Linked DNA regions of Arabidopsis thaliana. The protein of the gene in region 4 interacts with the protein of the main gene of each other region in a pairwise test. Each region holds a gene or a part of one and is shown on either strand. Other genes may lie near its edges. The genes, in order: AT1G80890, AT4G31830, HCC1 and AT1G01910.

Evidence for each region.
Region 1: the proteins of AT1G01910 (region 4) and AT1G80890 interact in a two-hybrid assay, tested with the Arabidopsis thaliana proteins (one large-scale study listed by BioGRID).
Region 2: the proteins of AT1G01910 (region 4) and AT4G31830 interact in a two-hybrid assay, tested with the Arabidopsis thaliana proteins (one large-scale study listed by BioGRID).
Region 3: the proteins of AT1G01910 (region 4) and HCC1 interact in a two-hybrid assay, tested with the Arabidopsis thaliana proteins (one large-scale study listed by BioGRID).

Annotation. Positions count from the first base shown.
Region 1 is NC_003070.9:30,393,064-30,400,124, reverse strand, and holds AT1G80890 (GAG1At protein), read right to left. Parts: upstream 2,998-7,061; 5' UTR 2,915-2,997; coding exon 2,764-2,914; exon of another isoform or gene 2,342-2,763; coding exon 2,250-2,341; 3' UTR 1,915-2,249; downstream 1-1,914. Other genes in the region: MGT1 (magnesium transporter 1), read left to right, coding at 255-845, 916-1,377, 1,472-1,519, 1,606-1,836; AT1G80880 (Tetratricopeptide repeat (TPR)-like superfamily protein), read left to right, coding at 3,204-3,796, 3,902-4,931; AT1G80870 (Protein kinase superfamily protein), read right to left, coding at 5,914-7,061.
Region 2 is NC_003075.7:15,398,249-15,404,838, forward strand, and holds AT4G31830 (uncharacterized protein), read right to left. Parts: upstream 2,978-6,590; 5' UTR 2,858-2,977; coding exon 2,555-2,857; 3' UTR 2,356-2,554; downstream 1-2,355. Other genes in the region: ENODL15 (early nodulin-like protein 15), read left to right, coding at 3,550-3,733, 3,829-4,178; PGR3 (proton gradient regulation 3), read left to right, coding at 4,772-6,590.
Region 3 is NC_003074.8:2,723,660-2,731,916, reverse strand, and holds HCC1 (electron transport SCO1/SenC family protein), read right to left. Parts: upstream 4,725-8,257; 5' UTR 4,633-4,724; coding exon 4,477-4,632; intron 4,394-4,476; coding exon 4,181-4,393; intron 4,082-4,180; coding exon 3,991-4,081; intron 3,556-3,990; coding exon 3,343-3,555; intron 3,264-3,342; coding exon 3,174-3,263; intron 3,103-3,173; coding exon 2,970-3,102; intron 2,737-2,969; coding exon 2,628-2,736; 3' UTR 2,261-2,627; downstream 1-2,260. Other genes in the region: AT3G08960 (ARM repeat superfamily protein), read left to right, coding at 241-285, 376-597, 813-919, 999-1,055, 1,183-1,252, 1,351-1,512; AT3G08947 (ARM repeat superfamily protein), read right to left, coding at 5,464-7,263. UniProt on the Arabidopsis thaliana protein: Thought to play a role in cellular copper homeostasis, mitochondrial redox signaling or insertion of copper into the active site of COX. Plays an essential role in embryo development.
Region 4 is NC_003070.9:311,500-320,489, forward strand, and holds AT1G01910 (P-loop containing nucleoside triphosphate hydrolases superfamily protein), read right to left. Parts: upstream 4,592-8,990; 5' UTR 4,333-4,591; coding exon 4,078-4,332; intron 3,517-4,077; coding exon 3,392-3,516; intron 3,304-3,391; coding exon 3,153-3,303; intron 3,053-3,152; coding exon 2,942-3,052; exon of another isoform or gene 2,727-2,941; coding exon 2,588-2,726; intron 2,497-2,587; coding exon 2,381-2,496; coding exon of another isoform or gene 2,373-2,380; intron 2,261-2,372; coding exon 2,096-2,260; 3' UTR 1,655-2,095; downstream 1-1,654. Other genes in the region: SBTI1.1 (subtilase family protein), read left to right, coding at 1-1,512; AT1G01920 (SET domain-containing protein), read left to right, coding at 4,705-4,758, 4,845-4,941, 5,040-5,214, 5,293-5,398, 5,509-5,591, 5,668-5,694, 5,795-5,957, 6,062-6,143 and 8 more; AT1G01930 (zinc finger protein-like protein), read right to left, coding at 8,542-8,646, 8,753-8,797, 8,881-8,958. UniProt on the Arabidopsis thaliana protein: ATPase required for the post-translational delivery of tail-anchored (TA) proteins to the endoplasmic reticulum. Recognizes and selectively binds the transmembrane domain of TA proteins in the cytosol.

The DNA.
Region 1 (7,061 bases), about 30 Mb from region 4:
GATATGACCGATGAAACACTCTATAGTATTCTGATCTTTTCCTTGTGATGTATGCTTTCTTAAGCTTCCATTTTTTATCAGAGAGATTAGTCTGTATTTATTACTTCGCTTCTGGTATTTGAAAGACGATCCTGCTTGGAGAAATTTCTATTCTTGACTTTTTATTTATTTTATCAAATAGACCTTGAAGAGATTCTTTTTATATTTCATTCCTTATACTTACCTGGTTTTGTAGTATCTGGAGATTGGCAACAATGTCTGAACTCAAAGAGCGTTTGCTTCCTCCAAGACCTGCTTCGGCTATTAACCTTAGAGGTGATGCAGGCTCTCGTCCTTCTCCTTCAGGGAGACAACCACTCCTTGGAGTTGATGTTTTGGGTCTCAAGAAGCGTGGACAAGGCCTTAAGTCGTGGATTCGTGTTGATACTTCTGCCAATTCTCAGGTCATTGAGGTTGATAAGTTCACTATGATGCGTAGATGTGATTTACCAGCACGGGATTTAAGGCTGCTTGATCCTTTGTTTGTGTATCCGTCAACTATTCTTGGTAGAGAGAAGGCTATTGTTGTTAACTTAGAGCAGATCCGTTGTATTATTACTGCGGATGAGGTTTTGCTCTTGAATTCCCTTGACAACTATGTGCTTCGCTATGTTGTTGAGCTGCAGCAGAGACTAAAGGCAAGTTCTGTTACTGAGGTTTGGAATCAGGACAGTCTCGAATTGAGCAGGAGGAGGAGTAGGAGTTTAGACAATGTGCTTCAGAACTCATCCCCTGATTATTTACCTTTCGAGTTCAGGGCTCTTGAAGTTGCACTTGAAGCTGCTTGTACCTTCCTTGATTCCCAGGTCAGTGATTGATTCACAACTTATTGTTATTTAGTATGCTCAGCATTGAGAATAGATTTTCCCTTTGTAGGCTTCAGAGTTAGAGATTGAGGCATACCCATTATTGGATGAGCTTACCTCAAAGATCAGTACTCTAAACTTGGAGCGTGCTCGTAGACTAAAGAGCAGACTTGTAGCATTGACGAGACGAGTTCAGAAGGTTCGGGATGAGATTGAACAGCTAATGGACGATGATGGGGATATGGCAGAAATGTATCTAACAGAGAAGAAGAAGAGAATGGAAGGATCTTTATATGGTGATCAATCTTTACCTGTTTATCGAACAAATGATTGTTTTTCTCTGTCTGCGCCAGTTTCTCCTGTTTCTTCTCCTCCTGAGTCCCGTAGACTTGAGAAAAGCTTGAGCATTGTAAGGAGCCGGCATGACAGTGCTAGGAGCTCAGAAGACGCAACCGAGAATATAGAGGAGCTAGAGATGTTGCTGGAAGCATACTTTGTTGTCATTGACAGCACTCTCAACAAGCTAACCTCGGTAACTAAAAACCTCGCCTTTGTGATCATTCATCATCTTGTTTTAACAGCTTTTAAAAGCGGTTTAATCACCTGCAACTCTCTTTACTCTTCAGTTAAAGGAGTACATCGATGATACCGAAGATTTCATCAACATTCAATTGGTATACCTTGAAATCTTGATCTTTTTTAGATATCTTATTTGCTTAGAAAACCTTAAGAATCTGCTGAAAATTTCTGGAATTTGCAGGATAACGTACGGAATCAGCTGATCCAATTCGAGCTGCTGCTAACTACTGCCACATTCGTTGTAGCCATCTTCGGGGTTGTAGCCGGGATCTTTGGGATGAATTTTGAGATAGACTTCTTTGAAAAGCCTGGTGCTTTCAAATGGGTTTTAGCCATTACTGGAGTGTGTGGCCTTGTTGTATTTTTGGCATTCCTCTGGTACTACAAACGTAGAAGACTCATGCCTCTGTGAAGACATAACTACCCTGACACGTAGACGATTGTTTTACTGTTTATGTTGCTTAAATCTATACATTAATCGCCTGTGACCTTTACAAGATAAAACCCCGTGTATTTTTTTTTTGGGTTACTGAAAGATTATTAAGCAAACCATACCAGACTCATCTTGATCTTTCACTTTATGGATTGTCCTAGTCGAAACTCACAGCTCACACAACAGTATCGTAAAGGATGAATCCTTTAACTTATCGCAAATTTACATATCTTCGATAAAGAAACCTAAGTGTAGAGTGTAAAGATACATATCTGAACTGAACCACACTCTAGAACAGACATGGCTGAGTTTATAGACATGGAAACGATGATGTATGGATCCATTCACAAAATGTAGTTGACTAGAGTCTCCATCCAAGTGGGGGGAGATGACTACTTATCCGAGGATGAAGATGATGAGAGACGAGCTTTTCGAGCTTTATCAGCTTTTTCCAAGTAATCTTGGTGAGAACGATGCTTTGATCCTGAAACAAACCAGATTTACCAAACAACAAAAGCCAATAAGAGAAACAATTAGCCTATATAATGAACAAAACAAGGAGAATATTACCAAATGTCACATATAGCAAATAAGATATTTAACCATTGAGATTATGCAATTGAATCGATGTGTGATCATCAGGGGAAAAAGCAAACAAACTTGGTAAAAAATGTGATCATGCAAGTCTATTATGATCCAAACAGAATAAACATTGTGACTCATCATTATCATATAATCAAACTCTATTTGATCGACCACTTGATTGCATTTGCCAAGAAATATAAAGTTAGAAACTTTAGATTCTAAATCTTTCAGCTATTGATATCATCATCCTCTTCCATTTCGGAATCTACAGAGAAACATCTATTTATATATTTCAATCTAAATCGCCCAGAGAAAACGAACCTTGATTCATTAGATACCAAGGGATTCCGAAGATGATGGAGATAATCCCGATCCCAGCCAAAACGTGCTTCTTCTCCCCACTGTAGACATAGTGCTCCATCTTTGCCCTAATTCCTCCTCCTCCCAAATTGCTCTTGCTCTCATTTCCCATCTCGATCTCCACAGGTTTTGCTTCTTCTTCTTCTTCTTCTTCTTCTTCTTCTTCTTCTTCTTCTTCTTCTAGGGTTTATCAGGAATTAGATCCCTCTCTCTCTCGGATCTTTTAAAGAAATCTAAAATGGGCCCTATTTAGGCCCATTCATATTAGTGTTACTTTGTTTATTACCATATTAGACCCCATATTATCTATATATTCGTTTTTGACCCCATTAACTTCATATCCTCATCCCATTAAGACCATGTTTGAAATGTATTAATTTAAGCCTTCTCACTCACTCGCTATGGCCGCGATCGTTGCCATTGGTAGGAAACTCGCGCGAACGCCACAATGGCGGATTGTTCAGCATCAATCTCTGCTACGTCGTGCAGTGTCGACGTCGTTTTCGAGCTCAGTTTCCCAAAATCATTCCTTCTCTTCAGCATTTCATCGAGCAGGTCATGTGCATTCTCAAGTTTTAAGCTATCTCCCACATTTTGCCTCTTCTAATCGCTTCTCCACCAAAACCATCTCCGAAACATTTGATATCAACTTAACAGCATTGGCTCCGTTAGAAAAGGGTCTGATTGATTTAATCAGACAGGTCTCTGAGCTGGAGTCAGAGGCGGATGCCATGGCTTCTCTGGAGGACTCATCATTTGATCTAAATCATGATTCTTTCTACTCCTTAATCTGGGAATTAAGAGATGAATGGAGGCTTGCCTTTCTAGCATTCAAATGGGGAGAGAAACGCGGCTGTGATGATCAGAAATCTTGTGATTTGATGATCTGGGTGTTGGGTAATCATCAAAAGTTCAACATTGCTTGGTGTTTGATCCGTGATATGTTTAATGTTTCAAAGGATACTAGAAAGGCCATGTTTCTCATGATGGACAGGTTCGGTTTCGTCTTCTTGATAAAAGTTTCTCTTTTGTTGTGCTAAATTGAAAGATTTACTAGCTAGGTATTGAATTGGTTGTCTTGGTGACGGTGTTGATGTAGATATGCTGCTGCTAATGATACTAGCCAAGCTATTCGGACATTTGATATTATGGATAAGTTTAAACACACTCCTTATGATGAAGCATTTCAAGGATTGCTATGTGCATTGTGTAGACATGGCCACATTGAAAAAGCTGAAGAGTTCATGCTTGCAAGCAAAAAGCTCTTTCCGGTGGATGTTGAGGGATTCAACGTAATTCTTAATGGTTGGTGTAACATTTGGACTGATGTGACTGAAGCAAAGAGGATTTGGCGAGAGATGGGGAATTACTGTATCACGCCTAACAAGGACTCTTACAGTCACATGATCTCTTGCTTCTCTAAAGTTGGGAACCTTTTTGATTCTCTCAGGCTATACGATGAAATGAAGAAACGGGGATTGGCTCCAGGGATTGAAGTTTACAATTCCTTGGTTTATGTGTTGACCCGTGAGGATTGCTTTGATGAAGCTATGAAGCTTATGAAAAAGTTGAACGAGGAAGGATTAAAGCCAGATTCAGTGACCTACAACTCGATGATACGCCCCCTTTGTGAGGCTGGAAAGCTGGACGTAGCCAGGAATGTATTGGCAACCATGATTAGTGAGAACCTTAGTCCAACAGTTGATACATTTCATGCATTCCTTGAGGCTGTAAATTTCGAGAAAACTTTAGAGGTTTTAGGCCAAATGAAGATCTCTGATTTAGGTCCTACAGAAGAGACCTTTCTTCTTATTCTTGGAAAATTGTTCAAGGGAAAGCAACCAGAAAATGCTTTGAAGATCTGGGCAGAAATGGATCGTTTTGAGATAGTGGCTAATCCTGCTCTTTACTTGGCTACAATACAGGGCCTTTTGTCATGTGGGTGGCTTGAAAAGGCCAGAGAGATCTATTCAGAGATGAAATCAAAGGGGTTCGTAGGAAATCCTATGCTCCAGAAACTTCTTGAGGAGCAAAAGGTGAAGGGGGTCAGAAAAAGCAAGAGGATGAATCTTCAAAAAGTTGGTTCTCAGGAAGGCTACAAGGGTCAACGATCAGTAGACAGAAAATAATCAGATAGGGGTAAGACTTGAAGTTTCTCATCAAACGATCACTGAAATAATGACTCAATTCTCAAACCTCACGGTCTCCACTCTTTCACTACATCCGCCGTGCAGTTTTCCAGGTAATCTTTTCGTCAGTTTACTAGATTTGCTGATCGCTACCTTTGCATATTCCTAATATCAATGAATCTGCAAAACTAATCATTTGCAGCCATGCTGATTCAGGAATCTCTCTCCGGATTACATGATAGACGTTAAAAACTAGTGTGATTCTTGATTGTTACACGTCCACGCATCGCTGCACGTTCAAGTTACAAGAAGTTAAAGTTCAATGTGTTATGATATGAGCCAGACTGCAGAACAGGCAAAGGCTGAGCTCACTGTGTTTCCAAGGCAAGATCTTCAGAGCTCTCTCATAGTCTATTTGTGTCCTTTTCTGTATTCTTTTGTCCTTGGACTTCATTTTCTTATATAATATTTTTGTATTCTGTGACTCGTGAACCAATGATGAATGTTATGGCCTTGGATTCTTTTATGTGTTGCAATTTTTTCATGCCACATTTCAAGGAACCATCAGTTTACTCCATCAAGAGTATGGAAAACATCGAAAAACCTTTTAAATATTGATATATAAATTAGTATAAACTAAAAACTAAAAACGTTTTTCGATAAATGAAATAGGTGTTAAAATTCTAAATAAACATAATTGGACAATCAATTAGTTTACACATATTTAAAATTTAACACTTAAAAAACAAAAATATTAGGTATAGTTAAGAAAATAAGACAATTTATCTAAAATTATTTAATCAATCGAAAAAGTTTAAAGTTTAAATATTTATATATAAGATTTTAAATTATATATATAGTTTACAAAAATTACAACATAATACAATTCTCAAAAGCTAAAACTCTTTCAAGTTACATCCAACAATTTCGAAAATGAAAAGATCATATCAAACCTCGAACTACTACTCTGCATTGCCCTGTTTTAGCTTCTCCGCTTCGATCTACTGCCGTAAACTTTTCCCGGTGGCGATGGAGAAAACTCGAAAGCAGTGGAGGAAATGTCCATTTCCCCTCTCAAGATTCTCACAACTTCACTAACATCAGGCCGTAACTCTGGAGCTTTCTGCAGACAAGCCAAAGCCAAGTTAATGCACAATCCTGCTTCTTCCTTGTTATACCCATCCTTCAATTTCTCGTCGACCAGCTCAAGAACGTTCCCTGACTGAGCCAGTTGCCTACACCAGCTCACCAAATTTGCTTTTTCAAGCTTCATCGGCGATGCAAGGACGTGTAAAGGCCTCCTACCCGAGACTATCACTAGAATCAGTACTCCAAAGCTGTAGATATCTCCTTTCTCCATCAAGTAACAGCAACCGCCTCCATATTCCGGTGCTATGTAACACAATGTTCCTCTCATACTCGTCGTGCTGCTTAATTCACGGCTGAACAAATCACCACTCCACATCTCACTCCCCATCGATCCATTGTTGTTCTTCTTCTTCTTCTTGCTGCTGCTATTGCTTTTCCTTCTCCATCCTCTTCTGAAGCTAAATTCTCCCGCTGCTTCTCCTTCTCGGTCGTGCACGCTGTTTTCACCCTTTTGTCGGAAACAGTAACGAAAATGCGGGAATTTCAAATGATTCTTGAACTTGATTCTCAAAACTCCAATCTTCTTTTTGTTATTCATCTCTTCTTGATGCTCTTCCTCTTTCCACCATTCCTCCATATTCCTATGCTTCTTCTTCTTGTTTTTCGATCTTTTGTTCTTCCTCTCGCTGATCTCTTCTTTTGCAAACTTCTCTTCCAGAGTGTCAAACCTAGATTCATTCAAACCAGACTCATCTCGATGTTCTGCTTTATCGATTGTCCTAGTCGAAACTCCCAGCTCAGGAGTAGTGATGACCTTCTTGTCATCATCCCAATCCGGATTAGCAGTGTCAATCTGACTCCCTATCCATTCCCTAACATAATCTTTACTACACAATTCACCACTCCCTTCTTGCTTCCACCACCAATCTCTCCCCCATTGCTTAGACCCCTTCCCCAAATCAAGAACCGAATTCGGACTCAATAAATTCATCTCCTTGCCCTGATCAAACTCATGATCCTCACATGACAACACAACATCAT
Region 2 (6,590 bases), on a different chromosome or scaffold from region 4:
CACGCCACCTGCTCACGCTGTTTTCTTCTCAGGCAACAATGGAGTTCTATTAGTTTCAACTAGTTACATATATATAAGCTCAATCAATGTTGTTACAAGTTTACAGTAGCTCCATGGTTTACAGTAGCTCCGTGGTTTACAGTAGCTCCATGGTTGAAGGCTTAATTACAGCTGCAGGGAATCGTCGGTTTGACACTAGGTTGTGTCCGATTTTCTTCTTATTTTTAATTTTTAAAACGACGTCGTTTTGAACTGTTAACGGAAAGTTGACTCCGTTAATTTTCTGTTAACGCAAATTTCACGGCATGCCTTAAATGACCACGTCAACGAAACTTAGACATTTTTTAATAAGCCAACTCAAACTTTGAGATTTAAATGACATTTCGAAAGTTCATGCTTTTTTCGTCCCAAATTTGAAAGTTGGCGCATTTTTCAACATTTTTCCCAATAAATAATACATCAAATGACAAAAATAAATTGACTGGAAGACTGCAAATGGTATCAAATGAATATGTACCCTAAACAGAGAATTGATGGAATATACTGTAGTCAATATAGTATTGCGTTTGTATTTTTATGTCATAGAGAACATAAAAAGCATGGCATATACCTATAACACAAACGATTACTCTTAGTGAATAATTTAAGACGACAATCCGGAAACCTCACATTTAATCGAACCGTGGAGAATATAGTCAATCCAATCGAAACCAAATTTCGGTTCTGAGATGAGAATGCTTTTTATTGTTTGATCGTTGAGATATGAATGTTTAACGTCAAACGACTAATAGTAAAGGTTTAATGTTGAAAAATAATAGAAAGATAATTATAGACAGGCGTGAGCATAAGGCATCATAAACAAATGATGGTGAACACTGACTATGGGTCCAAACCTCCATAATTGCAACCTTGTGCTTCTTCTCTTCCTTTTCTCCTTTCTTCATAAATTTCTTTATAATTTCCTACTCTTTTTTTTTTAACTTCTTTTACCTTTTTATAAGTAGACGAAAATTAGTTTTTACCCTTAGTTTTATTTGTGTAAAACTTACTTGAATTATTTGGAATGTACAAATAGTTTCCGCAGAATAACTTTGGTCGTTTTCAGGTCTATCTTTATCTTATTGTTTTCTTCTTGAACATCATGAAATAAAATGATAGAAGACTCCACCAATATGGAGAAGACTCAATTGGATGTTTTGTAATAGTGGTGTGAGTTTCGTAATAGTAAGCTGTATTTGCCAAATGACGAAATGTTATCATATGGGTTTGAGGAATAAGTACACAAACCCTATTATCCAAGTAAAAAATAACGTGGCCATTTGTTTTATTTTGCACAAAACAATGTATATATATAATGTACGTATCTATTAAATTTGTAGCTCTAATTAATATTTACGAGTGAGAGAGTTGATTCTAATGACGTTACATACCAAACTTATGCAAAATCTCATTTAAGTCATTGAATTTCTATCTTTTTGTTATTGAAAAATTGGAAAGTGAAGATTTTAGATATTTAATTGTTAGTCATGAGTTATGGCTTATGGACGAGCCGTTAGATATGTTTCTAAGTAGTGGATACTTGAACTGAAGCTTTTAGTAGTAGTACTTTGAATGTTTTATCAGAATTGATTAGAAAGTAAACGATGATCAGCCTAATTTAAAGACGAAAATGTTGATTTATAAATAAAATGTGTGCAGTTGGTGAGGAGAGAAAAAAAAGTTTGTCGTCCAGGTTTTATGCTCATAAAGCAACACATGAGTGTTTCTACCTAACAGCCTATGTCAATACACTTACTTTTCTGGGCCATTAAGTGGACTCACCTAATTTTTTCATATTTATAACGTTACGATCTTATTTTATGCCAATCAACGTTTTTTAAAGACATGCGAATCACCAATTGTCTCATAGAATCAACTTGCTATTATTTTGTAGTTGACTAAAAAATTACTATTTCTTTCCTTAAACTTTTATTTGGCACTTGACAGTAAGTAATCAAGACCACATTGCCGATTCAAAATAATCACACCGTTCGAAATTTTCAAATTGAGTTTTCTTGTTAGAGAATTTACCCTAAAACTAAATCAAAACCAAACTGAATAAATTCCATAAACAATTGGAATTTTCTATTTTTCATTAAGACTGGAAATATAAAAACGTAATCAAAGTCATATCAAAAGACTGCAAAACCGGATTTGTAGTCTTTGAATGCCATGCATGATGATGCTCTACACATCTTTTAGGATATGGCCCAAAAATATTAATACGCAAAAGAAGCCCACAATAATGGCCCTACTTTTAAGCGACATAACACAGAGAAATGTAGAGGATTCGGTGATCTAAATTATACGCATGCATTTGCTACACAAGACTACTCTATTCCTCCCATTTTATTCTTCTGCTTGCTCTAGTAGTTGACATAAGCCATTCTTGGACACGTTATGTTATTTTATTACAAGTAAATAAGAAGTTCCAACAAGAGCATGAAGCAAGAACAAAATTACAAAAGCAAAAAAAGAAGAAGAAGATAAACCCTTTAATTCTTCCCTTGAAATTTTACTTTCTTGGATGTGTATCTTCAGGTTTAGCCGTCCCTGTGGCAGCCTTAGCTACATCAGTGGCAGTGGCTTCCGGCTTCTTCTTAGCATACATAACAGTGTACATGATGGCCCCCGAGATAGCTAATCCGGCTAGAGCCATCGTCGTGTAACTGTATGGCAAGTTACGGCGTTGATGAAGAACACCACCTGGATTACTTCCTGGCGGCCTCTTTGATGACTCAACGCCGGCAGCTTTTACTCCCTCCGAGCTCATCTTCGTCGTATCTGCTGTTTTTCTCCAGTCTTCTTCTCCGGCCATGCTTATGCCTTCTTCAGTATTTTTTTGGTTGGGACTATACTAATCATGGAAAATTCAGCTTTAGCTATAGGTTTTTGGATATAGTAAGAGTCACGAAGACACGTAGTGTCGTTGGAGTTTGTTAATGTGTTCAATAAGGGACACCTAGCTGATTCTCTTTATTTTCTGTAATAAACATATTAGGCAGGTGTCATGCCTTAGAATCGTAACTAAGCCAGGTGCCAAATTGGGTCTGGACTTTTAACTATAATCAAAATTTATGCCCAAAGTTGGAGGTTTTTGTCTTCTGCTTCTCATATGGGCTTTAGGCGATATGTCTTTTATTCATCTTTTATCAACTTCAAGGCCCAATAAACCCAGTTCCCACTAGCAAACAAAAAGTAAAGTACAAAAACAAAAAACAGAAACAGCTTAGCTTGACCAGTCTTCCTAGAAGACCGTGAAATCACTTTCTCTATCAGAGTTCAAGTTTTGTCGCTCAATCCTAACCGTTACGTTGCCTTTATCATCTCTCCAACGGATACATTAACATTTACCATTTTTTCCTTTTAATTTTTCGTAATTCCTAAACGGCTAGTTTCCAAGTCCTCTACCTTTATATAAACCACACAAGATCCACACTCTCTCCATCCTCAACACACTTTAAAACACATTACACACTCTAATACTTTTAAGGTTTTAGATTCTAATCAATGGCTTCTTCTTCTCTTTTGGTCACCATCTTCCTCTGCATCTCTGTCTTCTTCTTTTCGTCCGTGAATGCAAATGAGGTTACCGTCGGTGGAAAATCCGGTGACTGGAAGATCCCTCCTTCCTCTTCTTTCTCCTTTAACGAATGGGCTCAAAAGGCTCGCTTCAAAGTCGGCGACTTTATCGGTAAATCCATAATTTTCAACTTTTTTTTTTCAATTAGACATTTTGTGTGATCTTCAATATACTCTGTTTCTGACATCGTCACATGTTTATTACAGTATTCAAGTACGAAGCCGGTAAAGACTCGGTTTTGCAAGTGACACGAGAAGCATACGAGAAATGCAACACCACTAGCCCTAAAGCCAGCTACACCGACGGGAACACAAAGGTGAAGCTTGACCAAGCTGGTCCGGTCTACTTCGTCAGTGGAACAGAGGGTCATTGTCAAAAGGGTCAGAAGCTACGCCTAGTCGTCATCACTCCTCGTAACTCTGCTTTCTCTCCAGGTCCTTCGCCATCTGAGTTCGACGGTCCAGCCGTAGCTCCTACTAGTGGTGCCGCTAAGCTCGCCGGCGGATTTAGTGTCGTATTTGGGCTTGTTCTTGGATTATGGGCCTTCTTCTTTTAAAAGACAATTAGTCTTAATTCTATTTATTAATTTTGGAATATAAAGTAGAAATCTTTGTTATTTACTACATTAAATTTATTTTAATCTAAATTGTTCTTCCTCTTTTTCAATTCTGGATAAATTAGTTGGATCTATCAACAATCAACAAAGAAAACAAAACAAAAGTGAATGAGAATTTTGAATTTAGTACCCAAAAAGGTAATTTACAGCAACACAAAGAAACCTGGACTGTCGTGAAAAGAGGCCTAAAAATGGGCCTGAATTGGGCCTAAAGATATTTTGGGAGGGAAGCAAAACGGTAAGGATCGAGTGGAGCGAGTCTGATTTTATCCTCTCGGCAAGTTTTTTATTATTCTGCTTCGAAAATTCTTTCATCAAAAATCTCCGGTTCACCGAAATCGACTCCCTCGCGCTCTTTTCAGCCGGTGAACGGAGACGAATCAAAATGCTCATAGCTATTCAGCACGTGTTTGTGTTTTGTTAGTTATATCTGCGCCACTTGAAATGTGATGAATCATCATCGTTAATCTCTGTTTTCGTTTCAATTTTTGCCGGAGAATTGAATTGTTTTGCTTGCTTGGCTTATCTCTAGAATGGTCGCGTTACTCTGCTCTGCGAGTTTGTGTGGTGATATATCAGTTGGTGATGCTTGTCTTGTTAGTAACATCAAAGCAAAATGTCGCGATAATTTGGTTACTGGAGGATTAAAGTTCCACGCTTTGAAGATTGGGTCTCGGAAGAAACACTGGAGAAGGAAGAGTATGAGATGTAGTGTAGTCTCCATGAAAAGTTCTGACTTTTCGGGTTCTATGATAAGAAAGAGCTCAAAACCTGATTTGTCATCGAGTGAAGAAGTAACGAGGGGTTTAAAGTCGTTTCCTGATACTGATTCTTCATTTTCGTATTTCAAATCAGTGGCTGGGAATTTGAATTTAGTTCACACTACTGAGACTTGTAACTACATGCTTGAAGCTTTGAGGGTTGATGGTAAACTTGAGGAAATGGCTTATGTGTTTGATTTGATGCAGAAAAGAATCATAAAGAGGGATACTAATACTTACTTGACTATCTTCAAGAGTCTTTCTGTGAAAGGTGGATTGAAGCAAGCACCTTATGCACTTCGGAAGATGAGAGAATTTGGTTTTGTGTTGAATGCATATTCATACAATGGGTTGATTCATCTTCTGCTTAAGTCTAGGTTTTGCACAGAGGCAATGGAGGTTTATAGAAGAATGATCTTGGAAGGTTTTAGACCTAGTTTGCAGACTTACTCTTCACTTATGGTAGGTTTGGGGAAAAGAAGGGATATTGATTCTGTGATGGGTTTACTTAAAGAGATGGAGACTTTGGGGTTAAAGCCGAATGTTTACACCTTTACGATATGTATTCGGGTGCTTGGTAGGGCAGGGAAGATTAATGAAGCATATGAAATACTGAAGCGGATGGATGATGAAGGATGTGGACCTGATGTAGTTACTTACACTGTTCTTATTGATGCTCTGTGTACTGCTAGGAAGCTCGATTGTGCGAAGGAGGTTTTCGAAAAGATGAAAACAGGAAGACACAAACCAGATCGTGTAACTTACATTACTTTGCTGGACAGGTTTAGTGATAACAGAGATCTGGATTCAGTGAAGCAGTTTTGGAGTGAAATGGAGAAGGATGGTCATGTACCTGATGTTGTAACCTTTACCATTCTCGTGGATGCTCTGTGCAAAGCTGGGAATTTTGGTGAAGCATTTGATACATTGGATGTGATGAGGGACCAAGGTATCTTACCGAACCTTCATACATATAACACATTGATTTGCGGTCTTCTAAGAGTCCACCGGTTGGATGATGCACTTGAACTGTTTGGTAATATGGAGTCTCTGGGCGTGAAGCCCACTGCCTATACGTACATAGTTTTCATTGATTACTATGGAAAGTCTGGAGATTCCGTCAGTGCTCTTGAGACTTTTGAGAAGATGAAAACCAAAGGAATAGCTCCGAACATTGTAGCCTGTAATGCGTCTCTCTACAGTCTAGCTAAAGCGGGAAGGGACCGAGAAGCGAAACAAATCTTCTATGGCTTGAAAGACATAGGACTGGTCCCTGATTCAGTAACTTATAACATGATGATGAAGTGCTACAGTAAGGTTGGGGAGATAGATGAAGCCATCAAGCTGCTTTCTGAGATGATGGAGAATGGTTGTGAACCTGATGTTATTGTTGTTAATTCTTTGATCAATACACTTTACAAAGCTGATAGAGTAGATGAGGCGTGGAAGATGTTTATGAGAATGAAGGAAATGAAGCTGAAGCCTACAGTTGTGACTTACAACACATTGCTCGCAGGTCTAGGCAAAAATGGAAAAATTCAAGAGGCCATTGAGTTGTTCGAGGGGATGGTGCAGAAAGGTTGTCCACCTA
Region 3 (8,257 bases), on a different chromosome or scaffold from region 4:
TATCCTTATTGTGATGGTGTTTAAGTTCCAGAGATACTTATTCTTCTGTTAAGTTTGTATCTAGACTGCATTTATTTTTGTATTACATAGCCTCATCTCTTGGGATACATATATATTGACCAGTAATGGAACTTTTGGCATGATTACACTGGAATTTTTTGTCATGACTCTCTATAAATGTGTTGCAAATTACGCCAAGTTTAACTTCTTGATATGAACATGTGCTTGTGTATTGAGCAGTGTTTTCCTGTGGAAGTGCCCCCTCTCATCAGCAGCTGTTTGCAGGTGAATTTTTCTAGTCTTCTTTTGATGGATGCAAAATCCATTTTCTTCCTTAATGCATCTGATGGAGTTGGTTTGTTCGTTTTCTCGCAGAAACTGGTGATTATTTGCTTGAGTGGTGGAGATGACCGTGATCCATCCAAGACTGCAGTTAAAGTGTCTTCAGCAGCTATCCTTGCAAGGATTCTGGTGATGAACACCACTTACCTGGCCCAGCTAACATCTGATTCATCTCTTTCAGTGTTACTCCAACAGGCAGGTGTCCCAGTCGAAGACAATATACTCCTTTGCCTCATCGACATTTGGCTCGACAAGGTCAGTGAAGAACACATCTTGAACATTACTGGTTGTTCGAATAGCTTTCTAGACTATTAACTTTCAGATAATGGAATATTAACTTGTTTCATGTCTTTACATGGTCTTTTTCTTGAATCCTAAGCAATATCTCATTGTCAAACTGCTCTACATGTTGAAATGCATGTTTCTTTTTCATTATCTGACGCACTTTAGTCTTGCATCTACTCGTGCAGGTGGACCATGCGTCTCCCATGCAACAAAAGACATTTGGCTTGGCTCTTTCCATAATACTTACACTTAGAATGCCCCAAGTTCTTGACAAGCTTGATCTAATACTAAGGTACAGGTTTGCACAGTCGAGAATTAACAGTTTGACTTATGTATCTTTGTGATATAATTTATCGCGTTTCTGGAAACAGTACATGCACCAGTGTGATCCTTGGTGAAAACAAAGATTTAACAGAAGAAGAATCAAGGTCAGATACTTTTTTTAATTACTTACATTACATAACATTATTAAATTAATTTTAAGTGACTTTTTTTATTTGTTATTGAACTGTTCACAACACTAAGAATTAAGAAACACACAATTTATAATTCCAGCGGTGACATGAGTTCAAGCAGGTCTCAAGGAGAAGAAACCCCGCCAAGCAAAGAGTTACGGAAAAGTCAGGTAAAAGTTAATTTAAAATATGGGTTTCTTGAAGAACCAGCTTCTACAAAACCACTGATTTATTACACTTCTTTTTTGGGGGGTTGGATCTTATTTAGATAAAAGTTTCCGACCCAATCTACCAGATGTCACTAGAGAACTCAACGCGTGAGAACCTTCAGACATGTTCTACACTTCATGGAGATGCCTTTAATTCTGCCATTAGTAGGATGCACCCATCGGCGCTTGCACAAGTGAAGCAAGCCTTAAAGCTGCCGTGAATAAATGTTTTTGCCTCGTGATTGTTTGTTTCCTTATCAGTTAAAGAGCAGCAGTATTCAAGTGAGTTTCTGATTCGTTGTTATTCTCTCTTTTCAGCGTCATTCATTAAAAAACCTCCATTGTGTTTTTCTATATTCATCAGTATTCAAGTGATTGAATGTTTTTGCCTCTTCACCATTTGATCTGACTCGCCACTTCATAACTGTTCAGGTGAGTGAGCTTTTCTTCCCTTTACGGTTATGGATTTGATGGGTGTGTTACATAGGCGCGCATGTTGCATTGACCTCTGCGACCTTGGCGGTTTGATGAACTATGTACATATCTTTGATGAGGTGATTCCCTTTTAGCTGCCCATGATTCCCTACAGAACAAAAGGAGGCATCTTTCAGAGACTTATATTTGTTTTCCTTTGGTCGAGTTTAGTATGTCAATTCATTCTTCAATACAACGTTTTTGTCCCAATGTTACAAACAACACTAAAGAAAAAGTGAGGAATCAAAATAGGGAGATCCTTACGATGTATTTCCGGTCTGTTTTTTGTCCCAAGAACTCTAACTTTACATATGATGGGAACAGGTCGGAGTTTTTGTCTCTATCTGTCGTACTGTTGTACTTGCTGATTTTTACTCATTCTCCCTTATGAATAAATCTTGGCTTCGTGATTTTATAGTCGACCGTTTCATACAAGTGTTGTGATCGTACGCACTGTTAGATCCCAATTGCAGATTTTCACAAATTACTCCTTGGTCGTGTAAACTCTCTTTACTATGATGATTTTGTAAAAACACATACTATGGTATTTAGCAATAACGGGTAATTAAGCACTGCCTCTTAGTTCGACATTTAAGCACTGCCGATAATTTAGGCCTTAAAATTCTATACGAAGAAGTGTGATCAATTTATGGGACACGGGTAATCGGAATAATCTCAATTGATCCCTTAATGCCCTTATAGTATGGATACTACCGTTGTGTGCATGCTCGGCCACAACAAAAACTGATGTTTTTTCAAGGAAACACAAGCAGCTCCGTGTTCTGAGAAATCCTTATTAATGATGAGCTTCCAAAAATGGGAATAATGTATATTAATCACCTAAGTGTACTTCGAAGGTTCTTTACTTCCGGTACTGACGGATCTCTTTTACAACGCCGTCTGTCAACGAGTCAACATCGTGATTCTTCCCGTAGAATTTCACAAAATTCATCTCCGGACTCATCAAGTACCTTCACCCACAACATGTTTACATATCAAAACTCCAACCACCAAAAAAGAGATCAAACACTACTGAACACATACAAGATGAATCATTACACTGTAACTATGTAAAATGTAACTATGTAAATTCTGAAATTTGAGAATATGAACATGAACAATTCTAAGTCTGCATGTCGGGTTTTGTGCCGATAACTATAATCTTCCTAACAAAATATGTTAAAGGGATAATAAGTACACGTACATGACTATAGAGTGATCAACGAGATAGTCTGAATCTTCCTCTTCGGTCTTCATGTAGTAAACCCGGTAAGATCGGGCCACCGATTTGATTTCTTCAGGGCTCCCAGTTAACCCGATCAATTTCGGGTGAAATTCTACAAGAAGTATCAGACTATGAATTTTCATTTCAAAACCAAATGAATCTTTCGAAATGAAAAATATCTACCTTTGACATATTCATGTACTTGCTGAACTGTGTCTCTTTCAGGGTCCACAGAGATAAACACTGGCACCACGTCTACTCCCGAATTTTCCTCTGTGTAAATGTGATATAACCTTAGAGGAAAAATCTCCAAATGTAGAATCACACAAATGAAAAAATGTTGGTATCTCACTTATTTTGTCAATGGCAGCAGCTAACTTAATAAGTTCGTCAGGACAGATATCGGGACAATGAGTGAAACCAAAGTATAAAATGGTCCATTTTCCCATCAAGTTTTTCTCCGTCACACGTTTCCCATCGTCTCTTATAAGGCTGAATGGTCCTCCAATGGCTGCTTTTCCAGCAGATGGCCCCTCCTTGACGGCTATAGAGTTCTTATTTATATCTAAATCAATAAGAACCCAAGTCAATATACAAAGAAGAATCGAGATAAGCTCGAAGAGGGATTCAGCAGAAATCAATGTGAAATCCCTAAGCATTTACTCAGTGATAGAAGTGATAAGTTCATTTATCTTGCCAAGGTTATCACTAGCCAAATCAGATATCGTTTGCTAAGGTCTAAGGCCTGTGATCATTAAGCTACAAACAATGTATTCAATTAGACATTTCAGAACTCCATTAGCAAAATGTACGACATGATGCAAGATATTAAGAGCTCGGTCGAAATCTAGCACCTCAGTTTTACTGTTATTACACAATCCAAACTAGAAAATGGGAGCTATGTAGCCAAATCATGTAATAGTAGTCTACACTCTACATGATCAAGTTTGTGTTACTTTGTAGATATGTTCAAAAAATGAAACTCACCATAGATGAGTACCTTCGATATGACGTTTCTTTTGTGTGTCATAATAGTAGACCAATCCAGCTCCAGTAGCAAACAGCAAGAAAAAGCTCATCCATGAAACCGGCTGCAATCAAACCAAAAACTCTCCAATCAAATATTAGACCAAAACAACCATTTAATTCTGCAATTCAATCAGAGAGACTTTGTTCATGGAAACAGTTACCCCTCCACGAACGTCTTTTCCAGAAGCACGCTCGTTTTTATGATCTGAACCACCATCAGAACTCTCCGATCCTCCAGATTTCTCATTTTTCTCCGAAGATTTTGTTTCCGGTTTACCTGAGTCATGTTTCGAGGTAGTATCAGAAGCAGAAGTACTCAGCAAACATCTCTGATCCATTTTCAGCATTTCGATTCCACAGTTAAGTGAAAAAAACTGCAAAAGGAAGATAGCAATTAGAGAGCTCAAAACAAAGAGAATTAGAAAATGAATTCAGATGAGGAGAAGAAATGACGAACCGATCGAGGAAGAGAGAAATCTCCATGACGAAGCGCGTCGGAGATGCACGCCGGAGAAGGAGACGATGCCGATAGTAGATCGCTGGAGACGCGAATCCGACGAAAAAGTTGAACGGAACGAAGACGGCTTGCAGTTCTACATAGAGCAGACGCCATTGACGACCAATTTTTCTCTGAAGTTCACAAATTCGCTGATTTCTTTCCTGCGAGCTGAGGTTTTTAATCTGAGAGGTGCAAAGAGGTTTTACACTTTATAAAACCTTCTAGTGAAACGACACAGTTTATATTAAAACGGCAAGGTTTGCGAACGCCCTTTATACAAACACCTTGCCGTTCAGTTTAAAGCCCGTTTGGGTCGACAAGCTCATTAGTTTTAGATATTTAAAGCCCATTAAGCCGGTTTCAATCAATTGTTTTAGATATTTATGCTTTCCACCCCCAGTTTTAACATTACTATCACTTAGTTCCAACTCTTTTCATGAAGACCCAGTTGACTCAAGAGCGACCAACGATACTTTGATTGATAATGGAGTAACCAAAGAACAATAAAAGAGTTTTGCATTAACTACCCCAAGAGAACAAAATAAGACCCAACCTCAAACAGATATGGCCTGAGGGGAATTAAACTACTTTTACCCAAAAAAAAACTAACCACTATTCACATGATACGATAGAGAGAAGCGGAAAGACGACATGCAAAAAAAATAGAGGGTTAAATTTATGATGGGTGCATGAGCCTTGCAATCATTCCTTGAGTCCAGCGTGCAGTGACCTTGAGATCTTCATCCTCTGATTCGAGACACTCATTAAGGAACTCACCGAAGAAGGTGAAGTTTTGGAACAACTGCTTTGTGTTCTCTCCTACAACATCCGCAAGATCACCCATCGCTGCAACCGCGGCTTTTGTCACGCTCTCATCCCTGCTCTCATAACAAAACACCAGTTACAAGTTTAATATGTGCAACGAAACCAGAAGGAACAAATTGATTATATTTTCAAACCACATGGTACGGACCTCAGGGGATCTTTGGATACTAGTTCAACAAACTGCAGGAGATGTTGAGCGTAGGGCATCATGAGCTCGGCTTTTGTGTCCTTGAACCCTTGTAGTATCCCGGAGTATGCCTCAAAGATGCTTCTCCGCAGTTGGTTTGCATAATCCATAAGCTCCTCGTCAAGGGTATCCATCTGAGCACACACCTGAGCAGCCCCTTGCATGATCTGAACGGCTGGTGCTACATACCTTTCAAAATGAGCACCAATTGCCAGAGCAATGTCTCCAAAGCATGAGAATATTGGAGGCTTCACTGATCTGTGGAGTGCCCCACTTTGAAGGTTTTGGATAAGGAGACCCATTATCTGATCGCAAAAAGGTAGGATTTTTTCATCCAGGGCACGGCAAATGTCACCAAGCACTCCTACTGTGATTGAGCAGACTTGGTATTCTTCGAAATTCTGCAGCCCCATCTGGAGATATTTGAAAAGCTCGGGCATGTATTTCACAAACTCAGCTCCAGTAGCATATGCAAGAGCACCGATTGCAAGCATGGCTTCTTCGTGGACACTTGAACTATGGCATCCAAACACTCTTAGGAACAGCCTCATAATGTCATCTGCGCTCTGCATTATGATGGGTTTCGTATCCTCCCTGCCGCTCAGCTTCTGGATTATAACTTGGAGAACACCACACAGAGAAGCCTGGACTTCCGCTTGCTTCTCACGGTCATCAGTTGATATTATAGGGAGGTCCATTGTCTCAGCTAATTTTTTCATGATGGCAGGGAGGAGATGCGCTATGATGCTTGAGGCCTCTGAAAGGTTTGAACACCGGACAACCTCGTTCAAGGTTTCATACGCAGCACCTCTTAGCTTAGACTCTGCCCCATCTGTACGCTCAGCAGCTGCAAGCAGATGTGTGATGATCTCTGTAAGATAAGGAGAGAGAAGAGATGAACTTGCTCCAGAGTCTTCATATCCCTGTGCAAGATTGTATATTGCTCCACAGACCTTCTCTGCAACATTTGGCACATCTTTAATTGATTCCAGTAATACACTCACAATTCTAGGGAGGTTTTCGGGTGATATAACAGAGAAACCACTGTCTGGGGAGTGCAAAAATTCAAAGATACGGCTCAGAGTCCAAGCAGTTGTATCCCTGACATGGTTATTCTGATCCTTGGTTGCATTAAGGAGAAATTCCAAGCCAGCAGCAACCATCGGGGCAAGCTTATCAATTGTTGGGCCCTCCAAAATTGATCCAAAAGCATAAGTGGCTGCCTCCCGGCAGCGCCAATCTGGCGAACTTATGTTTTTTTCAACAAAAGGCATCACAAGAGGGACTACATGATCTCCAACTGTTCTGGCAACCAGGCCAAGGCATGTCCCGCCAGCCATAGATATGTTCCAGACGTCGTCATCATGGTCCTGATCCTCTTCCTGCTTCAGCAGAGTTTCTAGCAACATTTGAACTAAATGGGGAAGAGCCTTCTCTATGAAAGAGGAGTGGGGAGGAGATGAGTCACCACTAGCAGGACTGTCATACTCTTGACGGTCGATCTCTTCATCACAGATGGAACTCCAGAACTCAATTGCTTGGAGGGAAACGCTCTCTTCATCTCCCTTTACAGCATTCGATGTGAGCTCAAAGAGTGTTTGTATGTAGTGCTCCAGCACCTCATAGTATGTGGATGCAATGGACACAAGGCACTCGAAAGCAGCTTGCCTGATCTCTGCCTCCTTGGAACATGCTGTCTCGCATACCATCTTCATGATGTAATTCCTCTCCATTTCATTCTCAAAATTTGTCTGAGAGAAATCCAAGGCATTAACAGTGCCTTTGTTGCTGCGAGACGAACTTCAGCAGTATTTTCAGACTGGTTCATGCCCTGCACAACTGCTGTGAGGACAGAATTCACTTCATCTTGCACAAGATCATGGTGTGATATCTCTTCACAGACATAGCCTAGAGTTTCCAAGGTTGATTGCTTCAAGTGTGCGGGACTGCCTTGCTGAGTCATATTGTTAAGCAGCGATCCAACAAGTTCAGGCCACTGCTTCTGAGGAATTTCAATGGAGGCTACCTTAGCAATAACCTGAGCTGAAGTATGCCTTGCCTCTAGGGCAGATGAACCAAGAGTTCTTAGTAAGCGATCCTTGATCTGGGATTTAAGAGCAACATCAATTGCAAACCATTGTTTCACCAGATGATCTTTTGTGGCAGAATCTTTGGCGTCCAGAGAATTCTTTAGCAGAATACCGGCTAGTCGACGGGATTCAGCAGGTTTATCATTGTTGGCAAGCTCAAAAGACAAGGATACTAAGAACAGCGGCAAGTTCTGTTCTTGGAATTGCCTGAGATTACCCTCTGCTTCAGTCCGGACTCTTGCATCGGCTGACTGGGCAGCCAACAGAAACTGTGTGATCTCCATCGCCATTCTGGTCTCTGCGCAACAAGGACATTCACCATAATCAGCAAAAAAAAAGAGGGGTTAATAGAACAAAATCAGCACAATTCTAAAAAAAAAGGGAAAGCTACTGAACAAAGTAATGGTACAAGTATAAAAGGCAATAATACTATACAAACGGTCAACAAGTTCAATCAGATGGTACAAACAAGAGCATTTGAACATTATGAGCAAATATATCCATACTCCGAGAAAATTATATGAGAATCTCTGCTTGGTGTAATTGACAACAAAAATCATTGAAAACAAACCCAATATGAAATCCGAACCAAAGATGACCCAGCGTTTTCTATGAAATTCGGAAAAAGCTTTTTCTC
Region 4 (8,990 bases):
GCCAGCACCGACGTCATAGCAGCCATTGACCGAGCCATTTTAGACGGTGTAGATGTGATTTCACTCTCGCTAGGTGGATCATCACGCCCGTTTTACGTGGATCCTATCGCGATAGCCGGGTTCGGAGCGATGCAGAAGAACATTTTCGTGTCTTGCTCTGCGGGTAATTCAGGACCAACTGCATCCACAGTGAGTAATGGAGCTCCGTGGTTGATGACTGTCGCTGCCAGTTATACGGATAGGACGTTTCCGGCGATTGTCCGGATCGGGAACCGTAAAAGCTTGGTCGGATCATCCTTGTATAAAGGAAAAAGCTTAAAGAATCTGCCTTTGGCGTTTAACAGAACAGCTGGAGAAGAAAGCGGAGCCGTGTTCTGTATCCGGGACTCGCTCAAGAGAGAACTCGTCGAGGGTAAAATCGTCATTTGCTTAAGAGGAGCCAGCGGCAGAACGGCCAAAGGAGAAGAGGTGAAACGGAGCGGAGGAGCAGCGATGCTTCTTGTGAGCACAGAGGCGGAAGGAGAGGAGCTTCTTGCTGATCCTCACGTTTTACCGGCCGTTTCACTTGGATTTTCCGACGGTAAAACCTTACTGAATTACCTCGCCGGAGCAGCAAACGCCACCGCCTCCGTTCGATTCAGAGGAACCGCGTATGGTGCAACCGCCCCGATGGTAGCCGCGTTCTCATCCAGAGGACCTAGCGTCGCGGGACCGGAAATAGCTAAACCGGACATTGCGGCTCCCGGTCTGAACATCCTCGCCGGATGGTCACCGTTCAGCAGCCCTAGCCTCCTCAGATCCGATCCAAGACGCGTCCAATTCAATATCATCTCGGGAACCTCCATGGCTTGTCCTCACATCAGCGGAATCGCCGCTCTAATCAAGTCCGTTCACGGGGACTGGTCACCGGCGATGATCAAATCAGCAATCATGACGACGGCGAGGATCACTGACAATAGGAACCGACCGATCGGAGATAGAGGCGCCGCGGGAGCTGAATCGGCGGCCACAGCGTTTGCGTTTGGAGCGGGAAACGTGGATCCCACGCGAGCGGTAGATCCCGGGCTGGTATACGATACCTCCACCGTCGATTATCTCAACTACTTGTGCAGCTTGAACTACACGAGTGAGAGAATACTCTTGTTCTCCGGCACTAACTACACGTGTGCTAGTAACGCCGTCGTTTTGAGTCCCGGTGATTTGAACTATCCCTCGTTCGCGGTCAACCTCGTTAATGGCGCGAATTTGAAAACGGTGAGATATAAGAGGACTGTGACTAACGTTGGGTCACCGACTTGTGAGTATATGGTGCACGTTGAGGAACCAAAAGGTGTGAAGGTGAGAGTTGAACCAAAGGTGCTCAAGTTCCAGAAGGCCAGAGAGAGGTTGAGTTATACGGTGACGTATGATGCAGAAGCTTCGAGAAATTCGTCTTCGTCTTCCTTTGGAGTTTTGGTTTGGATATGTGACAAATACAACGTCAGAAGCCCAATCGCCGTGACGTGGGAATAAATTTCGCATCTATTGATTGCCATTTTCATATTTATTATATACCAAAGAAACTTATTGAACAAAAGCTTACCCTAAACTTGTAAGAATTTGTCAATAAATCAAAACATCTCTTATTTACTATAATTTTTTTACATGAATTTTCCTTCTCTGTTGCAAGACCAGTCTACAGTATATAAAAAGCTGTTACAAGAGATCATAGCATTCGCTTGTCACAGATACCCTTCAACTTAATATATAAAAAGCTGATTAAGTCGTAAAACAACGATTTCTTGGTAGATATGAGTCTATGTAGTCATGATTATTACAAATATAAAAACAAATCCAATGCATAACAATAAAACAACGCAAAAGAAGATTCTGCTTGATCTTCTTTCCTGTCCTATAAAGAGTTGTTGCTAGATGAAGAACTAGAGAGAAAAAGATTCAGTTTTAATTTTCCACCTATAAATTGTTCAAAACATAAACAACAATAAACCCAAATGACAACGCAGATCCAGAAGACCCCCATGTAGAAAGCAAGTGAGTTCCAAGAATATGGCGAGGAAAGAAACTTACAATTAAAGGGAAGAACAGAGCCTTATCTTTAGCCACTCTTGACCCGTTCGAGTTCTTCTTCAGCTGTTTTTAACTGCAAACGCAATGTGTGTACTTTCCTCTCCAGCTCCTCTACATTGCTCCTGCTAGTGGTAGGATGGTACGGCGTCAAGAACTTATGTGAAAACGCCTTTAAGGCTTCAACCCCTGTCACCTGTGATCCAAACATCCACAACAAGTGTAAATCTCAGGATGTATATTATATAAGGCTTTAGTTTCATTTTCGTCTTGATCATGTTCCTTCTCATCTATATTGAATGTCATGCGTTCTTACCTCTTCCGGAAGCAGAGGAAGCTTTGTGATATTAAAGTCATCGTATAGCATATAAAACTGATCAAGATACTTCTGTTGCATCCGCATCCTTGCTCTGAGCAACTTGGACTCCACATCTACAGAAGACAAGTGTAGATAATTCGTCAAATTTGTATGTAAAACAAGTTCAAAACGAGAAGATAGACACGACAGCAAATAAATAGGCACCTTCGTCGTCGTATAGTACTTGGTTGATGATAATGTTATGCGTGTCAATCTCAAACTTGGCGAGTTCCTGAACAAGTCTCTCTGTTTCATAGAGAGACAAGAACTCGGGGATGCAGACACAAACGAACGTAGTCATATCCTACGTAATGGAGCCAAATGTGTCAATTTCTTATCTTAAAATGCAGAGTTTGTTAGATATGTATCAGAATTTTCACTAATGCAAATGAATGCTGTCAAACCGTATGCTACAGAACAATGTGAAGAATCTAAAACTAAACTTCACGAACAGAGTTAAGAAAACAGTCAATGAGTACTGAAAATAGCAAAGAACTTAAACAATTGAAAAAATGTTACCGGGTCTTTGAATTGCCGATTTACTTGCTCAATCACATCTTTCAAGCCCTCAAGTCTTCCCAGCAAAGCATCCTCTCCGAACTCATCCTCCATGCCAAACATACGGCTCATCTGCATTACCAATCAGTTCCATGAAAAATCAGCCAAAGAAGAAACCAAAGAGCAATATCTGTTGCCAAGCAAACTGAATTTGACAAGCTTAAAGACATGCCTGAGTCATCAAGCCACCAAATCTACTCTTCAATGACATCAACTTCGAAAGTCCCTTTTCTAGTGTGGCCGGAAACTGTAACAGGCGGAGAGTATGTCCAGTAGGAGCAGTGTCAAACACAATAGTAGCATAATCCATTGTTTGCACCAACCTAAGGAAACATAAACATATCAAAATTTGACTGTGATAATACATGGATAAAGGCAGATGATTACTAGAAGAACTAAATGGCTATTTACTTCAACATCTCAGCAAAACTCATAGCCTCATCGATTCCAGGAATCGCATTTGCCAAATCAGAGAATAAACCATCCATCCCGTCTGTACCAGCCATGTCATCAGTTTCAACGGTAGGATCTACCTCCTGAGAAAAGCAAACAAGATTCACTCACTATCAAGAGGGAAGGAGTGTGAATCGTAACCATTTGCTTATAGTATGTGTATATATATACATATACACACAGACACAACTAAGAGCTTCAAGCTTAGAAGAGTAGCCATAAAGTCATCATCAAGCCTGTCTATTAGAGGCGACCCAGAACCACAAAAAACAACTTTTTTTTTTTTTTTTGAATTTGGCATAACTAGCCATGAATTTTAACTACAATAGACAAAAATTCGATTTGATTTGGGGACATCAAATCTTCTTCACAATCCCCTTCCGTATCAAGAATACAAATTGGCGTCCAAATTCCAAACCTAATCCCCAAAATCAGAGTGGGCATATGATAAGAAAGGCACAAATCAACCGTATTTATGCAAGTACTAAATCTGACTTCAAAATCAAAATTGATCCATCAATCTGCGGTTTGAAATTCGTGAATCAGAGAACCCTAATTCCCAATGAGATTAAAATCCAGGAGCGAAACTACCAAATTCCCTCTAAAATCTAGCACGATCTAGAACAAAATCGGAGAAAGCTTACCATGGCAAAGAGATTAGAGAAACCTTGAACCAAAGTGGGAGATTTAGTGAAGCGTTGCTGAAAGGCATCACTAAGATTGTGAGCAGGATCGGTGGAGATGATGAGAACGGAGGATCGAACACTGGCGAGACAAATTGCGAGAATTGAACTGCATGTCGTCTTCCCAACACCTCCTTTACCTCCGACGAAAACCCATTTAAGAGACTCTTGGTCCAGAATGTTCTGTACTGTCGCCTCCGGCAAATCCGCCGCCATTGCTAATTCCTTGCTCGTCTCTCTTCCACTAGTCTCAATCTAAAGAGCTCCTTGTTAGATATTTGGCGTACGGAAGAGTTTAACTGCGGCGAGAGACTTTTAACGCCGCCCGGTTCAATATTTTGGTTCTCGGTTTTGGGATATCACAGCAGTCTTGGTTTGATTTTTTTGGTTATCGTTTTTCACTTGTTCAATTTTTCTTTTTTTGTTAAAAATTTAAATTTGGTGTGTTTAAGTTCATAAACGCTAAATAAGCCCATACAAAAGCCCACATAGATGAAGCCATTACGACAGCGTATTGTGAGTTACGATTGAAAACCCCTCTCTACTCGGTTAAACCCGTCGCCGGCATATTGATCTTCGCCGGAGGATATGGCGATTTCAGAAGAAGAAGCCAAACTCGAAAGGTTCCTAGATTGGCTTCAGGTTAGATCCGGATTAAGTGTTGTTTTTCAGTCCTGATCTGCTGCTCTATATCATGGCATTTTGTGTTTCGATCTAATTTCATTCAGGTGAATGGAGGTGAATTAAGAGGCTGCAACATCAAATATTCTGACTCCCTAAAAGGATTTGGCATATTCGCTTCCACCTCCACTCAAGCTTCCGATGGTATAGTATTGTTCTTACCATTTCTTGCTGGGTTTTTTTCCGGGGAATATGTATGGAAAGTTGATATTGAATTCTGATTCAGCTCTGGAAATTTTCAGAAGTTTTGCTTGTTGTTCCGCTTGATCTGGCCATTACCCCTATGAGAGTTCTTCAGGACCCTCTCCTGGGCCCTGAGTGTCAGAAAATGTTCGAACAAGGACAAGTTGATGACCGCTTTCTCATGATTCTGTTCCTCACTTTGGAGCGTCTTCGTATCAATTCTTCTTGGAAGCCGTAAGTTTTTTTTTTAATCTCTTAGCACACATTTACGTAAGCTTAAGGGTATTCATCTGTCTAGAAATGATATGATAGGTATCTTGATATGCTTCCTACTCGATTTGGCAATCCTCTTTGGTTTTCTGATGATGACATCCTTGAGCTAAAAGGGACTAACTTGTATCACGCAACCGAGTTACAGGTCTCAATCTTGATCATTTATTCCTGTCTTATCATATCGTCCTTAAAATAGCAACCACATTTTCTCTTTTCATTTATTAAACCCAATAACCATCGTGTATTCATTCTCAGAAGAAGAAGTTGCTCTCGCTTTACCATGACAAGGTGGAGGTCCTGGTGACAAAGCTTCTTATTTTGGATGGCGATTCCGAAAGGTTGACATATTTACACTACTTTTAGACCAAATTATTGTTCATTGATAATCATATTTTGTTTTCTCTCTTCGTGCAGCAAGGTCTCCTTTGAACACTTCCTCTGGTATGTTTGGTACTGGTGTTATTCCTTGTTAGTAGAACCAGACTTTTGTGTCTTGTAAAGGGCTGCTTAGTGATCTTGCGACTTTTTTCAATTATGCCAGGGCAAACTCTGTATTCTGGAGTCGCGCCTTGAATATTCCTCTTCCACATTCTTTCGTGTTTCCACAAAGCCAAGATGATACCGGGGAATGCACATCAACAAGTGAGTCCCCTGAAACGGCTCCAGTTAATTCTAATGAGGAAAAAGGCAAGTCATTAACGTCGGTCTGCTGAATTCTGTGTGAAATGCCTCTTTTTTAATTATTATTATTCTATCATGTAACGACAATTTCATGGGTTTCTTCATTTTCTGATGGGTAGAAATTCAGGCTCAACCTGCGCCATCTGTAGGATCCGGAGATACAATATGGGTTGAGGGGCTTGTTCCTGGCATTGACTTTTGCAACCATGGTATGCCAATCTTTGTTTCAAAAAGACTCTATTATCAGTTTCTCCGTTCCATAATGTTGATATGGTTAATGAGTATATCCCAGTGTGATGTGATATAATGACCTATGGTTATGGCAGTATAGATTTGAAGCCTGTGGCGACTTGGGAAGTTGATGGGATCGGATCAGTATCTAGGGTTCCTTTCTCCATGTACCTTCTCTCTGGTTGGCCAAATATTTGTTTGTGTTACCTCTCAGCTTTCTACAATTTTTCAATCAAACAATACAGAACATTCTTTTTCCTCTCTTCTTTTTGATCTGTATGCGGAAAACTAAGTGCTACAATTCTGTAAAGCAGTTGCTCAACGTCCTATCCCAAAGAAGGAGATCTCGATCAGTTATGGTAACAAAGGAAATGAGGTAAGATGTTTTGCAGCTATCTTGTACAACTATATAACTTGTCTCTTGGTAAAAAATCACATCTAGCCCTTTGTTTGAGTGATGTGCCTTCTTGCTGAATGCAGGAGCTTCTTTACCTGTATGGCTTTGTGATAGATAACAACCCAGATGATTATCTCATGGTAATATTTACATCCATCAACAGTTCCCTACCTTTTCAACCAGTGATGTATTATAGAAGTCTTGAGAATGATGACGAGAAACATAACTTTCAAGATCAAGGAGATGCTCGTCAATTTTGTTCTCACATCTGTTGTTACGTTTAACAATGGATTTATTCAGGTACATTATCCTGTTGAGGCAATTCCGAGTATCCCTTTTTCTGATTCCAAGGGGCAGCTGCTTGAAGCTCAGGTTAGCAGTACAAGTCTTCGCACTATCTTACCCGAAGTTTTGATTATAGACCCTATAAGACAATGTAGCTCTTTAATACATTTATTTCCATGTAATATGTAACTGTCGAACTCTAAAAAATATCATTGCAGAATGCACAACTCCGGTGTCTCTTGCCAAAATCGGTCCTAAATCATGGGTTTTTCCCACGAACCACATCAGTAATTAGAGAAAGTGATGAGAAGGAAACAGTGAGATCCTGTAATTTCAGTTGGTCTGGGAAGCGTAAGATGCCCACATATATGAACAAACTAGTTTTCCCAGAAGATTTTATGACTGGCTTAAGGACCATTGCAATGCAAGAAGAAGAGATTTACAAGGTCTCAGCTATGCTTGAAGAGGTATGATCACCGTTTTTTCTTTCTTCTGACATCTGAAACCCATATCCTACACAAAAAATCTCCATCTCTGAAAGAGTGAAAGTAGTAACTTGGGAAACGAAGGCGGAATCATAAATATCCACAGTTTGTCTTCCACTAGATAATGAGACAAAAGTATTGTTTTCCTGAAAAGCTTGTTGAGTCAAGACAAGGCGAGCAACCTTCTGAAACTGAGGTCAGGATGGCAGTATGGGAAGCATGTGGGGATTCTGGAGCTTTGCAGTTACTTGTGGATCTCCTTAATTCAAAGTAAGCAGTTGAATTTGAACATGGATTCTTAAGGGCTAACTAAGATGTTTGTCTGTGGGATGAGAAGAAAATTACAGACCTCAATGCTTTTTGTCCTGACAGGATGATGAAGCTGGAAGAGAATTCTGGCACTGAAGAACAAGATGCTAGGCTCCTTGAGGAGGCGTGCGTCTTAGAGAGCCATGAAGAATCGAGGTACAATGTAAAAAATCTGTGGACATGTCGTTTAGATATTGATTAAAAATGTTTATAAAATATGTTTTGTGGTAGGGACTTGGATGGGAGAAGGATGAGCAGAAACAAGTGGTCAAGTGTAGTGTACCGTAGAGGACAGAAGCAGCTCACAAGACTGTTGTTGAAGGAGGCAGAGCATGCCCTTCACTTAGCTCTCTCCTCTGACCATTGACTGATATCTCATCGGTGTTTTATTGTAGATTATTTTAAACATATCCATTTCAAAGGCTAAATAAGCAAATTGTGTGATATAACAATTATTAGTGTGTGGCACCAAATTAACGGTCTATATATTTTAAAGTAATACCCAAATCTTTTAGCTAAACCAATATAAAATCTTTTCATCTAAATCAAATCTGGTGCAAAATCAATAGGATTTGCAAAGATTCGGTAATGGCACCACGCCATTTACTCATTTACTCATATTTAGTGCCGCTACTCTTTCTTGATCCTTAAGAAAAAAGAAAAAAAAACTTGCAACTCTGGATCGAGACACTATTGATGTGAAAACAAGGCTTCATGCATATATATATATATATATGGAAATATTGAGAAGTCGGTTTGTGGTCTAAACGGGCCTTCTAAAAACAAATTTGTGTGTGGCCTAATAATTGAGTCGGTAATGTTGTGCACTTTAATGATGATACTCACTTCTTGTTTTTCAAACTTTCTCCTCTTTTACCTAACTCACTAAAAAGTTGGAAATTAACTTGTGCTTGAACTGCTTTGAATGTTAAGTGATGCCATCCGTCTTTCTGCAGCGGCTGCTCTCTTTTCCCTCTGTGCTGCCATTGCTCTCCTCACTTCCTCCTATTACAACAAGATTTACACCAAAGACAAAGCAAATGTTGACATGGCTTCTCCTTAAATATCAGACTGAGATCAGATTATACAAATTGGGGTTTGTGAAGCTAACCACTTTAGAAATTGGCTTCTCCTTCTCCGCCTGCGCAGCTTCGGCCTGCAAACACAGGGAGGGTTAGATAACAAGTCTCTACTAATCCGAGTTTTGTTTGAAAAATAGACCCTGATTCAAAACGTTACCTGAGCCTTCTTTTCTCGGGCTTTGCGTAGTTTCTTCAACTCCTTTGTTCTTGCTTTCTGCTTGGCGTCTTTTTCTGCCTGAACAACAATCACCGTCACGAATCAAGTTA